4 linked regions of the Arabidopsis thaliana genome follow. The protein of the gene in region 1 interacts with the protein of each later gene in a pairwise test. Each region holds a gene or a part of one and is shown on either strand. Other genes may lie near its edges. The genes, in order: AT4G25920, GSTU2, AT2G29210 and AT5G08650.

The links.
Region 2: the proteins of AT4G25920 (region 1) and GSTU2 interact in a two-hybrid assay, tested with the Arabidopsis thaliana proteins (one large-scale study listed by BioGRID).
Region 3: the proteins of AT4G25920 (region 1) and AT2G29210 interact in a two-hybrid assay, tested with the Arabidopsis thaliana proteins (one large-scale study listed by BioGRID).
Region 4: the proteins of AT4G25920 (region 1) and AT5G08650 interact in a two-hybrid assay, tested with the Arabidopsis thaliana proteins (one large-scale study listed by BioGRID).

The regions. Positions count from the first base shown.
Region 1 is NC_003075.7:13,163,770-13,167,385, reverse strand, and holds AT4G25920 (hypothetical protein (DUF295)), read right to left. Parts: upstream 1,912-3,616; coding exon 1,855-1,911; intron 1,773-1,854; coding exon 1,018-1,772; intron 906-1,017; coding exon 545-905; 3' UTR 514-544; downstream 1-513. Other genes in the region: NFU3 (NFU domain protein 3), read right to left, coding at 2,292-2,483, 2,580-2,878, 2,954-3,071, 3,157-3,258.
Region 2 is NC_003071.7:12,629,659-12,633,218, forward strand, and holds GSTU2 (glutathione S-transferase tau 2), read right to left. Parts: upstream 1,664-3,560; 5' UTR 1,575-1,663; coding exon 1,254-1,574; coding exon of another isoform or gene 1,249-1,253; intron 1,081-1,248; coding exon 724-1,080; 3' UTR 540-723; downstream 1-539. Other genes in the region: AT2G29485 (uncharacterized protein), read left to right, coding at 932-1,073, 1,249-1,316; GSTU1 (glutathione S-transferase TAU 1), read right to left, coding at 1,935-2,288, 2,382-2,702. UniProt on the Arabidopsis thaliana protein: May be involved in the conjugation of reduced glutathione to a wide number of exogenous and endogenous hydrophobic electrophiles and have a detoxification role against certain herbicides.
Region 3 is NC_003071.7:12,556,413-12,562,879, reverse strand, and holds AT2G29210 (splicing factor PWI domain-containing protein), read right to left. Parts: upstream 4,902-6,467; 5' UTR 4,725-4,901; coding exon 4,704-4,724; intron 4,585-4,703; coding exon 4,495-4,584; intron 4,333-4,494; coding exon 4,210-4,332; intron 4,056-4,209; coding exon 3,888-4,055; intron 3,800-3,887; coding exon 3,725-3,799; intron 3,589-3,724; coding exon 3,476-3,588; intron 3,157-3,475; coding exon 3,109-3,156; intron 3,031-3,108; coding exon 2,974-3,030; intron 2,838-2,973; coding exon 1,575-2,837; intron 1,484-1,574; coding exon 1,361-1,483; intron 1,268-1,360; coding exon 712-1,267; 3' UTR 513-711; downstream 1-512. Other genes in the region: AT2G29220 (Concanavalin A-like lectin protein kinase family protein), read left to right, coding at 1-99.
Region 4 is NC_003076.8:2,807,595-2,815,374, forward strand, and holds the start of AT5G08650 (Small GTP-binding protein), read right to left. Parts: upstream 6,009-7,780; 5' UTR 5,627-6,008; coding exon 5,387-5,626; intron 5,291-5,386; coding exon 5,114-5,290; intron 5,016-5,113; coding exon 4,929-5,015; intron 4,730-4,928; coding exon 4,673-4,729; intron 4,513-4,672; coding exon 4,447-4,512; intron 4,011-4,446; coding exon 3,948-4,010; intron 3,594-3,947; coding exon 3,549-3,593; intron 3,446-3,548; coding exon 3,345-3,445; intron 3,083-3,344; coding exon 2,986-3,082; intron 2,744-2,985; coding exon 2,672-2,743; intron 2,201-2,671; coding exon 2,046-2,200; intron 1,963-2,045; coding exon 1,905-1,962; intron 1,621-1,904; coding exon 1,540-1,620; intron 1,311-1,539; coding exon 1,224-1,310; intron 1,105-1,223; coding exon 1,033-1,104; intron 943-1,032; coding exon 808-942; intron 698-807; coding exon 624-697; intron 239-623; coding exon 151-238; intron 1-150. Other genes in the region: AT5G08660 (D-lactate dehydrogenase (DUF668)), read left to right, coding at 6,932-7,240, 7,384-7,697. UniProt on the Arabidopsis thaliana protein: Promotes chloroplast protein synthesis. May act as a fidelity factor of the translation reaction, by catalyzing a one-codon backward translocation of tRNAs on improperly translocated ribosomes.

The sequences.
Region 1 (3,616 bases):
AGGAGCCATTAAATCAAATTAAAATGTTGAGTAATTAACCTAATAGTTTGTATAATTGTTTATTCAAAAGCAATGTCTATAGTATATATACCACTTGACGAGGAATTGTTCACCGGAGGGTGACTCCACATAGTGATCCACCACAAAATAATGTAACAACACTCAAAATATGTGTTGTGATTTTGATTTGACGTGCGACTCTTTCGTCTTCCCCGTCTCTGTCTAGTGAATACCGAGGGTACTACACCTTAGGACATTAAATATACATATTTAGAGGATAACTTGTTTCAGGAAATAAATAATTATATAAGTTTTGTGCCAAAGTGTGTCTTACGTATATTAATTGAGAAATATGATGAATTAACCGAATTCGTTTAGATTCGCCTTCTTTTTTTTTTGGTAGGATAGATTCGCCTTCTTTTAAGGCACTAATATAAATTTCATTGAACATAGATTAAAAGAGAACATTGGATTTAAATGAAATCATGGGAAAGCAAAGACAGCGATAACATTAGCGAAACATAAACACGTGCAAGAGAGATAATTAATTAGGAGCTAGTACTGGAAAGGAAGCCGGAGGAGGCCAGTAAGGGAATTCCAATTTCCTTAATGGATTATCATCTTTTGTGAGGAACATAGTGCAAGTTTTGGTGGTGAGATCATAAACACCAAAGTTATAGCCCACAAAATAGATGCAGTTAGGCTTGAGGCCAGGGGACGAGCTAGCCGGGACGCAGAAAGCCTCACTATGTCCAACAAAAATGCAAAGATCTCCAATGTCTTCTGTATAGATCATCTTCTTAGTGTAGACACAACTCGGTTTCTCTCCCTCTTTAAACACCATGAACTTTTTTGTTACATTATACAGTGTGGTGTTGTCAATGTCCTCTAAATCCTCTCCATACCTGCAAAGACATGATAAAGCGCGCCAATATGATACTCAAGCAAAGGATTAGAGATTTTGGTATATATGTTATGAAGACAAAAGCTATATATAGCTTTAATTAGATAGTATACCACTTGACTAGGAAAAGTTGGCCGGTGGGTGACTCCACAAGGTGGTCTGTCCTAGAACATGTACTCACGTCGGCCAACTCTTGAAACACCGATTTTGGAAGATCGTCAAACTCCAATTCCACGAAATCAATTAGGTCGTCGTCCTCTGAGTGAGGATCCAAATAGCACAAGATGTTGCCTCCGGGAGTTGGAACGTAGAACTTTTTCTCTTTCTTGGAAAACATGATGCTCGATGAAGGGTTTATATTCTGAGGCTTGGTTTGGATGTTGATCCATTTACGGCTGCCAAAAGGCCTGCACATACTCAACTGAGATCCCAATAACTTGACAACAACTACCCAATTTTTGTCTCGTTTAGGTAAAGAGGACATGACCAGGCTTTGGATTTGTGAACCCGTCGGTAGAGGAGGTAGATCAACGGTCAAGTCTTCTATTTCGGGGTCAGTAGGCTTGTAAAAGATGGTGGGAGAACATACATCGCCGTGGTTGCCACAAAGCTCGACTCGCAACCCATCACGAGAAAACCCGACAGTCATCGCATCACAGACCTCCTCCTTAAGATCCTTGTCCTTAATCAAGACTTCCTTTTCATTACCGTAAACGTTTGTTGTTACGCGACCATCGGAGGAAGAGTTTGGGTTGTTTAGGATGTAGTCAATCAACAGAAACGGGAAGGCTGGTTTAGACGAGAAGGGCTGATTCACTTTAGTACTCGTGTGAGTTGCAGATGAGAACAGACGAACGTTTGCGTGTCTCTGCCATAGTTATGTTCAAGTATTCAGAGACAACAAGAACAAAATTAAAGTTAAAAAGAAAAAGCAAGAGAAGCTTACGTACGAGGAAATTTTTGCAGACAGAGGGTTTGAATATTCGGTTGATTATAAGCTTTGACATTGTTGAAACTCTTAACTATGTTATGTCTGTGTTTCCTCATATCTTCTTATGTCCGACTTATTATAGAGATTCTAGTATCCTTGCTCACCAAGAACTCGCTATAAATGCATATTTAATTAGAGAATAATTGGTTTAAGGAAATAACTCTTTAAGTTCGATTATCTTTGTGTAGTCAAGTCATGAATATTTTATAACTGTTACCTAAAAACAAGGATCACTAGAGAAAATGTCCTTCATACATAGGATACTTTTTTTTTCTTTTCCTTTTTCTTCAACAGAAATGGTTATTGTATTAGTTGTACTAATTATATAATTGGAAATAAAATATATTGAATCAAAAATAGGCCTTGTATATAAGTTACAAAATAAAAAGGTTAATGTCACTCTAGAAGCTGGACTGCACCTATAGAAGGAATTGTTTCCCTCAGTTTTTGAGTCAACGCGACACGAACAGTCATGACTCCAGCAGCTGGTCCAGTGAGTCGAACCTTGACCACGTAACCATCAATCTCAACTAACTCAAGCCCCCCACCTCCAGTACCGGATAGGTACGGCCTTAACTCAGAGAGAACCTAAATTGACAACAAACCAAAAAAGGACCATTCAGATCAATTTCAAAACCAAGGGGCTAATAAACCAAAAATAACTAAACCTTTAAAAAACCAAACCTTCTCAATGTTCTCATCGTTCAGCTCTAAACCTCCTGTCTCGGATTCAAGAAACTGCTCAACGGACATGATCTCTGGAATCTTGTCTCGAAGACGACTCTCGATTCCCATCTTCAACGTCATTGATGAGCTAGGACACGAACCACAAGCTCCTTGTAGCTTTAAAACCACCACAAGTCCGTCGATTTCGTGCAACGCCACGTTTCCTCCGTCGGCCATTAGAGATGGTCGTACTTCGTCTAACACTCTCTCCACATTCTCTTCCGTTAACGGCATGACGCAGCTCACGTGACCAAATACTAAACCAAACATAACAAGAATCTAAATCACAACTAAAGTTCTAAAGAGATTGGTCTGGTTTGCAAATCAAGTACCTGTTCGTTTTCTCAAAGGTCGAGTGTGTTGTAGCCAAGAAAAATGTATTCTTTGAAATTGACCCCTGAGGAATGTACTGCATTTGGAAGAGACCCCTAAAGTATCTGAAATTGCGTTCTAAACACAAGCGAAAGAGGAGAAGAAGAAATCAAGCAAAAGGAGTCATTTTTTTGGTGAAGCTCGACGAAGTGATAACAATTACCTTAGAATTGAGAAGCGACGAGCGGAAATTAGGGTTCTTCTCTGCTGTTGAGAGCGAGAGGTTCATCGTTGTAATTCGGGTTTGACCCGAAACAGAACCCATTTGGAACCTCACTTTTCTGCTTCACGATCGAGAGAGTTTCCAGAAATTGTGAAGATTTGGGGAATTCGGGTGGATCAAGTTTCTTTTTTTTTTTTCCCAGGAGATTCTGTAGCGAGAACAGAGTAAGAGTGGGAAAAAAAAAGAGAGAACTTTTCATTGGTGGATTGATGATGATATTGATACGTCTTGGAGATGATTTAATTTTGTGGCTAAGATTTTTTACTTTATTAATCAATACGACAGAACAGACTCCCAAAAGAAATATAAAATTAAAAAAAAATTGATTGTTCGACATGGGCTTCGCCTCTTATAAAGCCCAGCCCAAATATAGATAGACCCAAAAACGAGAATTGGATTC
Region 2 (3,560 bases), on another chromosome or scaffold:
ACACTTAATTACAAGTTCAATGTATGTACATCATTCATGTGTATCATCCAAGAACATCTAGAAGGTAGTTGTTCATCATTGCCGTCACTTTCAAATGTGTTCATCATTTATCCTCACGCCTAAACATTTCAGCATGTGTTCAAAATATTAAGAATCCTCAAAAGTCAATATTTATGTCTAACTTTGACCATCTCTCTTTTTTTTTTTTTTGATAAATATTCTTTGAACATGTCTTTCATCTTTCACTTCCGATGTATTAGTTTTGGAGAGATATGTTAAATATTTGTTATTTCATTTCTTGAAGAAATTGAGTTACCAATGCTAATACAAAATTGGATAGACTAATAGAACCAGAATATCACTAAACTGAAATACTAACCAACAATACACAATAAACCAATACTAACCAACCATACGTTAATGTTCTTAACTTCTTATCAAACATCATGTAATCAATACCACACATCATGAAACAAATTAACTCATCATCCTATCGAACTTAGATTTACCATCTTTGCAATTTATTTTCCCTAAACCATAAATCAATATTTGTTATTATAGTTATAATAGGTAGCTTTCAACATTTCACTTTGCACCCATTAATTGATTTCCACTACCAATGCAGCTACATTCATTCTTTGTTTCAAATTTTTCAATAACAAAACGATACAAGCTGCACATAGTCATTATTTTAGAACACAGAGTTATGAAGTTATCATTAATTTAGAACGTAGACTTAGCTCTCTCTATAATTTTCTTCATACGCTCAATATGTTTCTCTTTTGGAGGTATACATTCCCTCACGATCTCAACTTCATTCAAGTTCTTGATCCATCTGTTTAATTCTGGAAACGTATCCTCTGGAGTCATATCAATCCCCAAACATTCCCAAGCCCGAGCAAGACAAAACGGGATCATACTTCCCGCAACCATGTCCAAGAATCCGATCGTCTTGCCACCAAAGAAATCTTTTCCAGTGACTTCCTTCTCAAGAAACATAAGCATTTCTCGAATCTCCTCAATAGCAACATCTATTCCCTTCTCTGCTTTTACTAGGGGCATGAAGCCAACTGGTAGGATCTGCAAGTTATTATACCAATCTATAAAAAAAAGTACTTAGAAAATTACTTTATCCTACAAATAATCCTGATATAAATGCTTGAAATGTAATGAACTTCTAATAACTCTCAAGTGTTTCTCATTTATTTTGCAATCAATATTATAAATCAATTTAATTAGTTAGACTAGAGTACCTGCTCATCAACGAACTTGGCCCAGAACCGAACCATGGCCTTCTCGTAGGGATCGTGAGGTAGAATTGGATTGTTATTCCAAGTTTGGTCGATGTATTCGAGGATCACATGTGACTCGGATAATAATTTATCATTGTGAACAAGAACCGGAACCTTCTTGTGAACCGGATTTAGTTCAAGAAGTAAAGTGCTCTTTTTGGGTAAGTCTTCTTCCAAGTACTCGTATGGTACGCCTTTAAGTTTGAGAGCCATCTCGACTCTACGACTAAAAGGGCTTATCCAAAACCCTAGAAGCTTCACACTCTCTTCTTTCTTCGCCATTAGATCTCTCTCTCTGACTCTCTCTGTCACTTTAAAAACAATATTGTGCTTTTTTTTGTAGTCTCAACTCTCAAGCTTATCTTGAAGATAAAAAAAAAAAAAAAGACATCAGTAAGGTAACCAAGTCACTGCTGAGGTCACTTTGGTTATTTTATTCTTATTTCCTTCTAGTCTTGGCTTTTACAATCTCCAGACACACCACGTTATTTGATTGCTGTAACTTTCAAATAGGTTTTTGATCTTTTTACTTAAATATTAGGTCATTCTATTTTTCGAAAAACTTTAAAAAATAAAAATATAAATAAAAAACGATGCAAGCATATAAATCAAATATTTTCGTAGGCAAGAAGTATCTTTAATTTAGGCAGACTTAATTGTCTCTGCAATTTTGGTCATGCGCTCAATTTGTTTCTCTCTTGGAGGAATACATCCCCTCACTGCCTCAACTTCTTCCAAATTCTTGATCCATCTATTTAATTCCGGAAACTTCTCCTCTGGAATCATATCAATTCCAATACCTTTCCAAAGTCTAGCTAGACAAAATGGGATCATACTTCCTGCGATCATGTCCAAGAATCCGATTGTCTTGCCACCGAAGAAATCTTTTCCAGTGACTTCTTTCTCAAGAAACATAAGCAGTTCCCGAGTCTCTTCAATAGCAACCTCTCTTCCTTTCTCTGCTTTTACAAGGGACCTAAACCCTAGTGTTAGGATCTGCAAGTAAAGAACAATATATAAACAAGCGAATAATATAATATTGTTCTGCATAGAATCAACTAATTAATCTGCAAATCAATATTAGTATACCTGGTCATCGATGAACTTGGCCCAAAATCGAGCCATGGCCTTCTCGTAAGGATCTTGAGGAAGAATTGGACTGTTCTTCCACGTCTGATCGATGTATTCGAGAATCAGATGTGACTCGAGTAATATTTTGTCATTGTGGACAAGAACCGGAACTTTCTTGTGAAGCGGGTTTAGCTCCAGAAGCAAAGGGGTCTTGTTGGGCAAATCTTCTTCCAAGTATTCGTATGGCACGCCTTTGAGTTTGAGAGCCATCTCGACTCGACGACTAAAAGGGCTTGCCCAAAACCCTAGAAGCTTCACACTCTCTTCTTTCTCCGCCATTCGATATCTCTCACTTTTTGGTATCTAACTCCTCTGTTTCTTGCACTACTTTTCTTTTTTATGTTTCGTTTACTTGCTTGATTACTTGAGTTTACTATATTCTATACACAAATGAAGTTATGGGTGGTGAAATAAACAAATAAATAAAAGGACCATTTTGCTTTCTCTTTGTCTTTGTATCCAAGGATATCTTGAAGATCACACCAGAAAAGGACTGATTTATATTTTAAGGTATGCACGTCATTGCCAACGTCATTCGTCTTAGTGTTTTAAGATATTTGACCAACACTTAGTGTTTCTAATCTCCAGTCAATTAGCCGACCAAGAAATAACAAATCTCCAAATGATTACGTTCTACAATTTATATTTTAAGATTCATATGTTGAAAAGTTTAAAACTGAGAGATTAATGTATCGACTGTATTTGTAAAACACACAACTTTTTTTGTTTTGAAGAGTCTATTTTTTGGCCAATTCATTGTCTGCCAAACATTTGAAATGAATGACATTGTAAAACAGAAGAAATATTCAGTTATCAAACAAAATGTTAATCATTTTGAAAGAAATGATGTAATAATCTAAATCAAAATATAACATTTATATAATGTGAACCTTTTCAGTTTTTGGGTTTGATTCCGTCTTGATTCACGGTATCGGTTGATTTGGTTTAGTTAAACCGAAATCGAACTCTAAGCGAAATCATCTCGTCGGTTAAACTTCTTTTGAATTTAGACAAAGGTTAATAATTATTATTTATTCCATACTTCATTAGGATCAAATGTATCCGATACATCATAATTCATAGCTCAATCGGAGATTATTATAATTTAGATAGAGTACTCACACACTCAAGTAAAAC
Region 3 (6,467 bases), on another chromosome or scaffold:
CGATCTCCAGAATCAAGGCCAATGATGAAAAATGTGTTTCGGTATCTCGAAGGAACTGAAGCTCTCCCTCATGATGACTACCTCTTCTATGGAGTCTAAAAAGTGATCTCACAAACGTGTCTGTATTTTGAATTGTGTGATTTCAAGATTGGACGAAGATGCATTAAGCATGATGATGTGAATAAAGCCTATAATTGTATTTTACTCCATTTGTAAATTTGAAAATAAGAATTTCTGGTTTTGAGAAATATTTTCTTGTTGTTAGGACAATCTGATCCTACTCTTCTGGGAAAATGATCATTACAAAATATATCTTTGATCTATTTAAAATCTAAATGATATTTTGTTATGTCAGTTTAGGATACATAGCTACGAAACTTATATCATGACTTCATCATATACAGGAATATTTTCCATGAAAACATCTCTTGGGTTTTTTTTGTTAGCTTATATTAACCTAAATGGTTTTTTAAAGCTTATGTTAACATAAAGGGACCACCCAATGCAAGAAACAATTTTGCTATCATAATTGTCACTTGTCCAATTTTGCTATCATAATTGTCACTTGTCCAATTTTGCTGCCACCAACAAACAGACCACATAAGAAAGTTTGGAACATGTAAGAAAAAACACAACATAAGATGATGTTCATAAATCTAGCAAGGGATAGTATCATAAAAGATGATGTTCAAATAACGCTGGACAAGGGACTTAGTGGCTAATGCCCTTCTTTGCTTTCAATGACTCGAGTGCTTTGTTTCGCAACTCAATTTCAAGCCTCTTTGGATCAGATTCCTCCCCTTTTTTAATCTTAGGACGGGCCTCAACTTCACCTTCTGAAGTATCAGAAAGCTCTTGTTTCTTATGCTTCTCCTTTCCACCACGACGTTCTTCCCTTTTACGATGTCTCTCCTCTCGCCTACGTTTCTTCTCCTCCTTTCTCGTTTTCTTCTCCTCCTTCCTCCTCCTTTTAGCCTCCTTCCTATCATCTACGTCGGAATCAGAACTGCCATTATCATCTGAAGATACTTCTTCCCTTGAAGACCTTTTATTCTTTCTTCTATTTTTATCCTTAATTTGATGTCTGATGGTATCCTTAGAATCACAGGAAAGGTTTGCATCCAGGTCGCTGTTATCCTCTTTCTCAACCTGCTCACTGTCTTTCACTTTACTAGAAACAGGCCGACTCCTTCCTTCTGAATTTTCTACTGGGGACATCTGTGAACCATGGTGTCTGTGAACAGATCGCTTCTCTGACAACTTATCACTGTTAAGAAGTTGAATAGACCAACATTTATCAGACCTTGATATTTGAAGTCAAACGAAAATCATTTGGAAAATGAAAAGAAACAAAATGCACCTCTTTCTCTCCTGCTCCTTATAATGTTCTACACGCCCAACTTCTAGCAACTTCTCTGGTAATTGTTTCCTCTTGTCAGTATCAGGCACTGAAGTTCTCTTTAACAGCTTGGAATTTTGAACCCTGTCACAATGCGAAAGCAGACAGAGGGTCAAGGAGTTAACAAGTACAGATAAGAAGAAGATTATAGTAAATGGAGTCATGAAGACCATACCTATCTTGTTCTTCAGATAGACGCCCAGGAGATCTTCTCTCTCTCTGATGTTTTCTTCCACGTGGAGAAGGAGATCTATGAAGAACAGGAGGTGATCGCGACCTAGAAGGAGATCTGCTCGAAGATGGAGACCGTCTCCTGCGTCTATCAGGTGATCGTGAAGCAGATGAAGATCTTCGACTTCGCCGGTTGACAGGTGTTGGTGATCTGCGCCGAACAGGAGAGCGCGCTTTCTGATGTCGAGATGAAGGAGAAGATTTACCTCGACCCCTAACAGGTGACATAGATCCATCTTGCTTGATATGTGAAGGGGAAGTATGGCGTCCACCTTGTGACAGGGAGACTCGCTCTTCGTCAGGTGTCAGTGACCTGCGTCTTCTAACAGGTGGAGATGGTAACACTTTTTTCCTACCAGGAGGGGACAATGAGCTGGGTGATGGTGATTCCAGGTGATTGGCTGCATGAGATCCTCCAATCCTCATTGGTGAAGGTAATCCTGCACGCCTAGGGGGTGGTGAAGGCAACCTTTGCGCAGGGGGTGGTGAAGGTAATCCTGCACGCCTAGGGGGTGGTGAAGGCAACCTTTGTGCAACGGGTGGTGAAGGCAATCTTTGCTCAATGGATGGTGAAGGCAATCTTGCCCCAGTGGGATCCCTGAGCCTAGCCACTGGTGACGGAGACCTCCCTGGTGAGTCAGACCTTCCCCGCTTAGCCAGCGGTGACCGTGACCTGTTACGCCTATAGAGTGGAGATGGAGACCTGTTACGCCTGTAGAGTGGAGATGGAGACCTACGCCGCCTAGCTGGCGGTGAAGGAGACCTACGCCGCCTAGCTGGCGGTGAAGGAGACCTACGCCGCCTAGCTGGCGGTGGAGAACGGTGACGCCTAGCAGGGGGCGATGGTGACCTGCGCTGCCTTGCAGGTGGTGTTGGAGACCTGTGCCGTCTAGCAGGTGGTGATGGTGACCTGCGCCGTCTAGCAGGTGGGGATGGTGACCTGCGCCGTCTAGCAGGTGGGGATGGAGAACGGCGACGTCTTGAAGGGGCTGGTGATTGACGGCGTCCCTCATGCGTAGGTCGCCTGTGACGTCTAATAGGTGACCGCGACCTGCTTCTGAAAGGAGAGTGTATCCTACGTCGCCGAGGAGACAGAGACCTACGCACGGAACGTGATCTGGATCTACGTCTTGAATTCGACAATCTTCGCTTTCTAGGTGAGATGGAGGCATCTGATGATTGAGATGTGCTCCTGGATTTCCGTTCGCTGTTATAAAAGTAGACAGCATTAGCAAAAACTGCACTAGGATTTACAGAAAATAATAGATACAGAACTAGCTAGCTACACATCACAGGCTACAATTTCTTTGGATTAAGAAAAACAATTGCAGAAGGCTACATACCCAGAATAACTTTTCGAGCCTGAATTTGTTTTGCTGATTGACCTAGAACGTGACCCTCTGTAAAGCAACCAATCAATATATACTTGCACATATAAGCAAATTGTATTAGAAAAAACAAAACTATTGAAGAGTCACCTAAGGGGTGAGCGGGATGCATCTCCGCGACGTGGAGGTATCAGATCCCTGCATCAAGTGGAGGCAATGTCAGAACCCACTTACATAATAATCTTGGCCACAAACAAATTCCTGGACCACCAGCAAACCAAATGCACATGCAAAGTACCAGTAGCATACCTAAAAATGCTAAAAGACTAGAAGACCCAGAACAGTCATTTATAGAAATACTTGAACAACTCATGCCCACGAGTTCTTATAGAGAAAATCAACGTACAAAGTTATGAGTAGACTAGAAGGATGAACTCAATCAATAATAAAGTACACAAGGGAATACAGCGATGAGTAGAGAGTAGCTATGAAATCATAGGCATTAAGAGAACTCTACCTTCTCCTTTCTTTTACACCATTCTTCTCGTCAGCCCTTCTCCCATCCTCTGGACGATCTCTTGAAGGTTTTGCATCCATGCCATTTGTCTCCTTATGTTCTACACCGCTGTCCTACAGTAGTTGAGGTAAAGCACATGAACCCTAATAATTGCAGAAGCTATCTGAATAACATGAAAGAACAGGCGAATGTTAAAACCAGAAGAGCATCTCTAAAGCTGAAACTCTAGCATGAATAAGAACGTCTTACTATTTTCCTCAATATATCGTGCTCAATGTTCTTCTTATCTCCCTCCCTCTTCTTCATTATTTCATTTGCTTCTTCCTGCCACATAAAGGATAATAATCATGAAACAGTAGGACAGAGACAAGTCGTTCACCAAACTAACTTCAGAATGAGTTCCCAAGAATACCTGTTTCTTCTTTGTTTCAGCAGCTCTAGCATCTAAAAACTGCTGTGGAACACCACTTGGATTATTCTGTGCGCTTAGAAGAAGTGTCCAAAGTTCTTTCATAAATTTGCCAGTATTTTTCTCCATGAATCCAGTTAGCGTTATCTGAATCTCCTTACCATTCACTACCTACATACATAGTGAACGTTCAATTACATATTAGTCCAACAAAAAAAAATCACTTGTATCAATGGCATGGGCTACGAAATCATACTACCCCTCTGTCACTTATTAACAGTCGAATAAAAAGCTCAGAAAAATAAAATCTCAGTAATGAGCTTACCTTCCCGTCAAGCAGACCATAGATAAAGTTAATCAGCACTTCATCTTCAATACCAAGAAGCTCAGTGACTCTAGTCGCAATCCAAGGTTTCATAACATCCATCTTCACTTTAGTGATATCCACCTAACACCAAGGCAAGTAGAAGACATCATTAAGCCCTCCCCAAACTTAATTTCATAGTAACATATGTATCGAATTATCTGGTAATCGAATCTCAATTAAGTAAATTCAAGCTACGAATTCACAAATCGTTAAAATGGACGAGTACACAAAGAGAAAACTCACCAGATTCTCTAACTCCGGAGCAAATTTCTGGCTTTTCATCAATTTAGCTTGCTTGTTAGAAAACCGAGTATCCTGCTCGGCGGAAGTACCCTAAAAGCTCAAAACAAAGAAGTTATTAAACCATGGGAACTTCAACAAAACTTTTGAATTGCATCGATCTGGATCTAAAAGATGAGAGATCAATTGAGAAAATTGATCGGAAAACTAACCCGGAAGAAACCGCCGGACATAGTTTAGGGTTTGTGGAAGCACTAGCTCGTCTCTAGAAGAAAGATCGAAGCTTGAGAGAGATTTGTGAGATTTAGATGTGAAAATGGGGCTTCCACAGAGATTTTGAAGAGTTTTTAACGAGCCCTAGCTATATCGGACTCACTTCATTTTGTTTTTCCATTGTTACCCTCAGAGGTTTTGAGAATTACGTTATTGCCATTTATTGGAACATGTTCGGTCTCATCTTCTTGACAAGCCTTTTTTGTAATCTGATTGGTTTCAATTGCCATAGCTTATGGGCCAGTTTTAGCCCAAAGCAAACCTAGTCTTAATTAATCTCGTAGGTCTATTTGAATGAGTAAAACATTTTATCTTATTGGTACATATGCAATTTTGGAAGTGGTTTTTTTCTTCTAAAACGAACAGTGTGGTCACGGAAATTTATGTGCATTGTGTGGACTGATTAAGCAATTGAAAATGGTTTTAGGTTAAGTAGGGTTGGTAGATGAAGTTAATAAGAGAGAGAGAAGATGAAACTTGAAAGTGTTTGAGGTTTAAGAGATAAATGTGGAAAAGGAATGGAAAAGTTACATGTGGTGGTAATCTTGAAAGTGAAATAGATTAGAGTAATCAATGTGAACCTTATGGGACGTGAAAGGAAGATGACTATGATTATAAGTTTTGGGGTGTGCATTACTCGGTAAAAATATGGGTTGGTGCAACAAAATGAAGGAGTTAGGTTTGGTCAACTCGTCCTACTACATTAGAGTAACTTATGTTTCTTAAACCATAGGTGAAAGTGTGGGTGGAAACTATATAACAGTTGTTTGATCGTAATTTGTGTGGACAACAAGTGCGCATGGAAGGTGTATGGGCACACAATATAAGGTAGGTATGAGAATTGAGAACATATAAGTATGCAAATGGAAAAATGAGAGCAATGACTATAGTTATCTCTAATATTGTATTAGACTAGATTTTAACCCGCAGTACACCGCGGAAACAATTTATTTTTTTAATTAATATATATAAAAGTTTGTAAATTTTATCTATCTATAAAATATTTTTATTGTATAGTTTACAATTGTTATTAAATAACGTCCTGCCAAACTCGTCCCGCCAACCCGTCCTCTAAAAAAAACTCATTTATTTTATTAATGTTGATTTTATTTATGATATGTTTATGAATTATTGTCTAAATATTTTGTAATTTTGTAGTAATTAAATGCTATCAAATATCTCTACGGTTTGATGATTATAATCATGCAGAAAAGCAATATCAAAAATGATAATTTTGTAGTAATTAAATGATATTAAATATTTTAGAAGTTTTATTTTAGTAATTAATCGTGTAGTTAAGGTTGAGAGATTTTGGGAAGATTGTTAAATGTCAAATATTTAATTAGAAGATTTTCTTTCTAATTATCAAAAACAATTATTAAATGCCAGTGGCAGCCGTTGTAAATAAATCCCAACTCCAGTATTTATTTCACAAAGTAGCAGCAAAAATGTATATATAGATGAGCTCATAACTCTGTGTTTCAGTTTCATATATGAGGGCATGTCATGCAAAAGATAATAACATATTTTCTTTTGTCATCACCATCATCGAAATTATGGACTTTGACGTATTTGTATGATATATAAAGCAAAATTTATGTCAGTAAAGAAAAAAATCAACTTGGAAGACTTTTTAAGATTCGTTATTTAATTTATTTTTTCTTTCCAATTACAAACAAACTTTGCCTCTACATGAATCAAAA
Region 4 (7,780 bases), on another chromosome or scaffold:
GTGTTTCCATCAATCTACTTATCCAAACTTTTTGGGCAAGTGAAATTGTATCAATGAGATTGCTGAACCAAATTTTTGTATTCAGGTGTAAGAGTGCGTATGTATGCTGTATTCATAAAAGTTCATATTAAAGAGCTTAAGCAAAATAACCTTATCCCTGTGTACGATGGTTGACAAAGGTTCCACCATTTCAGCATTAATCAGAATATCGAGTTTTATCAGATCACTTTCCCTGTACCTGCTCACATATTACAAGACAAAAAAAAAAAGTTGAATACCTTAAGATGGTAAGAAAGACATCAAAAAGAGCAAAAGAAACATATTATGTATTAAGCTTAAATGGAAACTGACGAAGCTGAGTAGTTAACTTGTATAAAGAAGGGCTACCAAATTTAACGATAGAGAGCAACACGATAATTAACCTGATTGAAATTGATCTGATGCTGCTAAGCAAATATATATATTTTAGATACTTGTTTATCACTTTGGGATTACTATGAAAAGAATATAGATTCTTATCTTCACAAAAAAGCTGACGCATTTCTTTGTTAATCAACAAAAATAGAAGGCAAGCATCACAAAGTAAGAGAAAGATCTGTGTATTAAAAGTTGAAAGATCTAACCCAATAACGGAGTATTCCATGCTAGCATATCCCTTGGTTCTCGACTTCAATTGGTCAAAGAAATCACCCACCATCTGCAAAATGGCAGGGAGCGATTAACAAGAAGATCAGTTTACATAATCAAGAGAGACATGGCTAAACTTTCATTGGGGTTATCTTAACTCTGCACAAGCAGAGATCTCACCTCTGCAAGAGGTAACTCATAGAGGATTGAAGCTCTGTTCTCAGCTATATATTTCATTTCTTTGAACTCCCCTCTCCTCTCTTGAGCGAGCTCCATAAGCGCACCAATATAGTCTTTTGGTGTGAGCAGTTCAATCTGTATAAAATGGTTTTGCAGTAAGGAAATGTAATTCTACGAAATGTGGTGTGTGAACTTATCAGCAATATCTCCAGTAGAAAAGGCAACCTTAACGTATGGCTCCTCGACCGATTTCCTTTGCCCAGGATCTGGAAGGCGTGATGGATTTGAGCACAAAGTCTGCAGTAAAATTGATTTCACAGGTAATAAGGCTCTAGATCAAGAAAGAAAGACAAAAGGATGCGATTTTCAGGGAACAAAGAAGAATATTTAAAAGTTTGGGATCAAGAGGAAATTACAGTATCACCATTTACAGAGTTCACCCTATAAACAACACTTGGAGCTGTGGTAATAAGATTTAAGTTGTACTCCCTCTCTAGCCTTTCCTGTGAAGAAGAGTGAACTGGAGCGTAAGAACAAAGAATGATATAATTCACTTTGTTGAGTATAATTTATGGCGGGTATCTATCGGGGAGGAAACTGTAAATAAGTAAAATACTAACAGATAACTCAGTATCTATGAATTTCTTTTCTCTATCTTCTGTTGCATAGGAAATTTTCAGTCAGAGACGCACCAAAAACACTTTAGAACAAGAAGAGCGAAACATATCTGACCTGCACAATTTCCATGTGGAGAAGACCCAAAAACCCGCATCTAAAGCCAAATCCCATGGCACTCGAAGTTTCAGGCTCAAACTGCAGGATAAAAACCAAGTTGAGGACAAACCTATAGATATGTTAATGCTAACGTATACGCTCCTTAGACCAAATGTGAATATTTTTAACAAAGATACATACAATAGAGGACTGAAGACCAGTTCTTTGCAAAACACAATTTTACTTTCCAATTCGAAGCCAACTGGGCATAAACATACATTGGCTAAGTAAGCATACGAAGACCATAGTTGTTTCGTCCGTGCAAATTATTCTGGGTACAGATGAAAGAAAAATGTTGTTTCTGTCATTTAATTCTACTATACCTTCAATGCAGCATCATTGAGTTGCAGTTTTTCCAATGCATCGCGAAGATCGGGAAACCTGCCATCATAGACCAGGTGTGAAAAAAAAAAATACAAAATGAAAAAGCAAAAAGTCAACAATGAAAAACAAAAACTCAGTACTGGTCAGCGTCAACTGGAAAAAGACCACAGAACACCATAGGGGTAGCTTCCTCGTAACCAGGTAAAGAGCTTTCTGCCTTTCTGCTATAATGTGTTATTGTATCTCCTACCCTGGCATCTGCAACAGATCTTACAGAAGCCGCAATATATCCTACCTGTATTTAAGGACAGTAACCTTTAAAATATGTGCAAGAAATGTGGCATGATATTCAGGCATATCTGATATACACCAGCAGCATCAATCAGTGCTAAAAACATCTTTCTAGCTATTAGAACTTGAGCAAGGGAAGATGCAACTAACCATTTCTTCTCAAATATAGCCAAACAAGAAAAGTGAAAACATATTTGTTTCATTGCATTCAAATTGTTATTAACCACAACTCTATCTTCTGCCAAAGCTGCTACAAGGAAATGCTAAGAAAATCCTTCCATTTACAAACGCTTTTAGTTTTCCTATTAACATGTGTTGGAATAGAACGGCGGAAACTGCAAAAGAATACTGACATTTTCATTTCATAATACCAAGGTTTCTGCTGAAAGAAAAAAATTCAACAAGAAAATGGGACATGGATGCACAGGAAAGTAAACAAAACAAACAAAATATTATGTTCAAAAGAGTACACTACCTCACCCGCATATAATTCATCCACTTGAATTTGATTTGGAGATAGAACTCCGACTTCATCCGCAAAATAATCCTGCAATTGATGCAAAACTGAGAACATGAAGGATACTAGTGAAACACAAGTAAGCGTTCTTAAAAGCTTAAACATTCTCAAATTTTTCCTGAAAGAATTATAGAATAACACTTCACATCGCTTTATTCAAATAGACCGCGAAAACCTATCTCATGCACAAATTACATTCAATTCATTATTGGCAAATGGAAAGCTATCTCGATTAAATAGAAAGACAGTACAGTAGAGTAAAAGAGATAAACCTTTCCGCTTGCCATGAAAAAAATTCTGTCGCCTTTCTTCACTTTCCCATCGATAACTCGAAAGTATACAATGACACCACGATATGGATCATAATAACTGCAGCAAAATGAATTTTGGACGAAAAATATAAAGTAGTTCACATATAAAAACTGCACACTTGTAGACTAATCAAGCAAAACAAACACGAGTATTTCACACTCATTTTTAGTTCACCAGTGATTAACTGGTACTGACTTGACATGCCAATGATCAGTCCAATCATTATATACGAATACAACTTCGACTCCAAGACTCAATTTCATACTGTTTTCTCTAGAAAAGGCAAAAATCGTTATGAATAAAAACAACAAGTGCAAACCTGTCAAAAATTAAAGCTCTTAAGGGCTTTCCTGCAGTATCGAGAGGTGCAGGTATCCTTTGAACAATTGCATCCAAAATCTCGGTAATACCAATTCCCTCCTGCGTGTATATATTATTCCCCAAAAATTGTAATTGAATGGATAGAAAGCCACACGTCTTAATTTTTGGGTAGCAGAATAGCAAAACAATTTTAAAATCTAACCTTTGCCGAACAGAATATCGCTTTGCTACAATCTAACCCAATAACCTACAAACAATATGAATTATCAATCAGTGTTCACATAAAGGCTGATGTCTCTGAAATTGCAGCAATGAGACAATTACCCCATTCGAGGAACATGAGACTGGATCATAATATCACAAAGAAAATGTTTAAAGCATAAAAGAATGTACCGCAATAATCAACATAATATCTAATACTAGAAGCTAGAACCTTGTAAAATGTCAAGATAACATATTGACAACAGAAAAATAAAAGACTGAAGAGTTTTTGCAGACACCCAAAAAGGAATACTGTTCAAATTATTACTGGTTGCATTGTATGATTGCTATTGAATACGAACATCATAAAATGGGTAACACAATGAACATAATCACCAACCTCCTCAATCTCCCTGAGAACTTTCTCTGGCTCAGCGCCTGGAAGGTCAATCTTATTTAAAACCTGCAGGAAGAAGTAGAGTTCATTTGCTTTAAACTCTGGTATGCAGACCAAATATTTGAAAGAAGAATAAACCACCTTACATTATTATTTCCTGTATAGTCATGAATCAGGTTGAAGCAATAATGAAACGTTAAATGATATAATCATTTTATCCTAGACTAGCTATTCTTTTCTTTACTACGCATCTTCTATGTACTGCCAGAGTGATACTACCTATTTTTTTTAACATATTTGCCTTGTTTGAAAGTTAACTTATTGCAGACTCCGACTTCTTTTAAATAAAACGACATTGACATTTTTAAATAATCTTCCATGGAGATGAGACGAAGGAAAGAATGATGATAACTACCACATATAGTTGAAATGTGATTTGTTAAAAGGAATGATGATAACTAGCACATATAGCTAATAAGATGAAGCATAATTCCGTACTTACGGGAATAATTTCGAGGTTGTTTTCCAAGGCCAAATACACATTAGCCAATGTTTGTGCTTCCACACCCTAAAGCACATGATAGAGGAAGTTTAAGTTTTTCAGTAATGTAAGTATGTAACCATCAGAAAAGAACGAAATTACCAAGCGAAAAAACGGCATAAACAATACAGATTCCAGGTTTCCACAGCGTGTCAGAAAATTGTATGTCAAGAGAAAGAAAAATCACCTGGGATGCATCCACAACAAGAAGAGCACCCTCGCAAGCAGCAAGAGATCGGGAAACCTATGTACAAATAAACAGTGCATTCTTCATCAAAACTGCAACTTAATAGTTTGTGTATATTCCTAACTGTAAAAAAAATTACGCTTTTAGGTGATATATAACACTCAAACCAAGTAACTTCTCACATATGAAAAATAACTATAAGGCTAAGCTTCAAATGTATCCGTAGACAATAAGTAGATTAGAATATTGTAAGTACCTCGTAAGAGAAATCAACATGACCTGGAGTATCTATCAAGTTGAGGCAAAACGGTGTATCTTCATAAACATAACGCATTCGAGCTGCCTACACAAACATACACCGCAAAGTTACAAATCAGACCGTTGAGCAATCTTATCGAAACTGATTTTTGATTGTGCAGAGAAAGCGATTGAAAGAAAAACCTGAAGCTTGATAGTGATGCCTCGTTCTCTCTCTAAGTCCATGTTATCAAGAAACTGCTCCTTCATATCTCTGTTCTGAACAGTACCAGTCACCTGAAGCAACTTATCCGCTAACGTAGATTTCCCATGATCAATATGAGCTATAATACTAAAATTCCTGATGTTCGAAATTGGAACCTGCGAATTTCATAACAAATTCAGTTTCAAAAAAAATCCAAATTCTTCTCAAGTTTCGGCACACGGATGAAGAGAGAGAACAAAACAGAACCCGACCTTCAAAAGACGGTCTTGACCAGAACGGGCGGCTAATTTGGAGCCAGAGACAGAGAGACCGCTCTGAGGCTCAGTTCCAGCTGTGGCTTGGCAAAGTATCTGTAACTTCCGATTAGAGTGACGGCGGAATCCAGAGACGGAAATGGAGGAGAGACGACGGAGAGATGGGGAAGATGTAGAAGTTCCGGATAAGAAAAACGTTGGAGGAGAAGATAAGTCCATAGCAGAAGCCATGGCCATGGCACTGTCTAAGCTCTCTACACCTCTCTCTACTGTTTTGAGAGAAATTCAAAGTATCCTGAGCCACAGACTATGTAACTGGGCCACTGTATCCAATTGGGCCTGTCCATCGGATTCTAACCCACCCGACCCGATTCGATCCAAATCTGTTTTCTTAAAATAACGAATTTGTTTTGTGTGAATTAAACCGAAATTAGACCACAAATTTAATGAAACTGAACAAGATCAAATAAATTGATTTTAAATCAGATAATTCTAAACCCAAAAATATTCGAAGTAGAACATCAAATGTCAAAAAACATAGAAATAAGCTTTTTGTTCAATATTGTTGTGCTATGATTTGATTCGATGAACCAGAAATCATGCATTTTGAGAATATAAGACTCTTTTTTATTCAATGATGAGTTGATTAGTGTTTAATCATTTCTTATATAAGATCTTCACATGCCTTTTAAGACTAATTTAATCCCTATGAAAAGTCCTAACCTTTTAGCGCAATTTCGGTTTAGAAGTAAGAGGAGTGAGGGATTGAAAGTAAAGATGAGTTTTTTACTTGCACGGAATGTAAAAAGACAGAGCACAAAATGAGTCAATGGCGTGGTAATAAGGGACGATTTGACCAATCCATCACCGCCTGTGACTCTTTTTATTAACATGGAGTGTGAGGAGATTAAAAGAAAAAAGGTTTAGACTTTTCTTCGTTTGTTTCTTTATCAAGCTGGTTGTTTCAATTTGGCTTTAGCTGATGCCAATTTGGTGTGGTCCAATCTCTCTTTTAATTTTTGTTTTTCTGATTTCTTCCTTCGTTCCTAGTTCATACTACTCTCCTTGACTTTCTCCTTTTTAACATCAATTCTCTCGTGTTCGAGGTTCCTTTGTCTCTTTTGTCTTTTCACTGTTGTGTGTCGTGAATCCCAAGCTCTATACCTCCGAAATTGGCTTGGCCCAAGTCTTTTCTGGTCTTTTTCTCTACTGGGTAAGTCTTCTTCTTCGCATTCCTCTCCTCAAAATACGATCTTGCTTAGGTTTTTTGGAGAAAGAAGACTTGCACAGTGTTTGACTTAAAGGCTTTTACTTCGTGAACGGCTTTGGCTTTATGTGAATCTGTTAATTTCCCCCAAGGCGATTACAATGTCTTAAACTATTTCGGACACGATCCTATCTCTGTGTTACTAATTTAGTTTGGAAGATTTGGTCTCCTTGAGTCTCTTGATCTGACTTTTTCCTTTGTTCTAGGTTATTACTCTTCCCCACAGTGGCATGATCTTTTCGATAACTTAGCTTAAAGGTCTTTGGAAAAGAGTTATGGGGAGTTTTTGCTCCAAGAGCCTTGGAATCAATTTTGGCAGCGAGTATTCTGGTTCTAGTGTGGCTGATGATGGTCGAGAACCTGATTTTGGCCACTCACAACCAAATGGGCAAACCAGTTTGATTGTTCCTGGTATGAGGCAGCTTATGGTTAAAGACGTCAAGGAACAAAATCAATTAAAAGATGTTTTCTCTTTCCGCGAAAGGGAAGCTGAAGATAATTTCTATGATGGAATTCCGACGTATACTATGGCTCCATCACAGAAAATTCGGTCTGCAAAATCAACTCAAACCGCTGTTTCAAAGGTTAGTATGGACCAAATGAAGCTCCTTTTTTAGCAACTAAGATTAAGAGTTAAAGCATTGTCTCTTAGTAACGGCAAGTGTCTTTTAAGTTTAGAAGTCCTGAAATGTCGTGAGACCAATCCGAATTTGCTATACTGTGGCAGGTTACAGAGGCAAGTAAGCTTTTAGGCAAAGCGGGGTTAGGTAGAGCAAAAGATGTTTTGGATACCCTTGGAAGTAGCATGACAGATCTTAGTAGCGGTGGATTTACTTCTGGAGTTGCAACTAAAGGCAATGAACTTGGGATCTTAGCTTTTGAAGTAGCAAACACAATTGTCAAAAGCTCAAATCTCATTGAATCCCTTTCTAAGAGGAACATCGAGCATTTAAAAGGAACTATCCTTTATTCTGAGGGTGTTCAAAACCTAGTCTCGAATGATTTCGATGAACTACTCAGACTTGTTGCAGCTGATAAGAGGTGAAAATTTTAGTCTAGACGGCTTCTTTTGTTTTTTCCTAGCTTTTTTAAAACATGGCAAGATAGTTAACTTGATATATTTG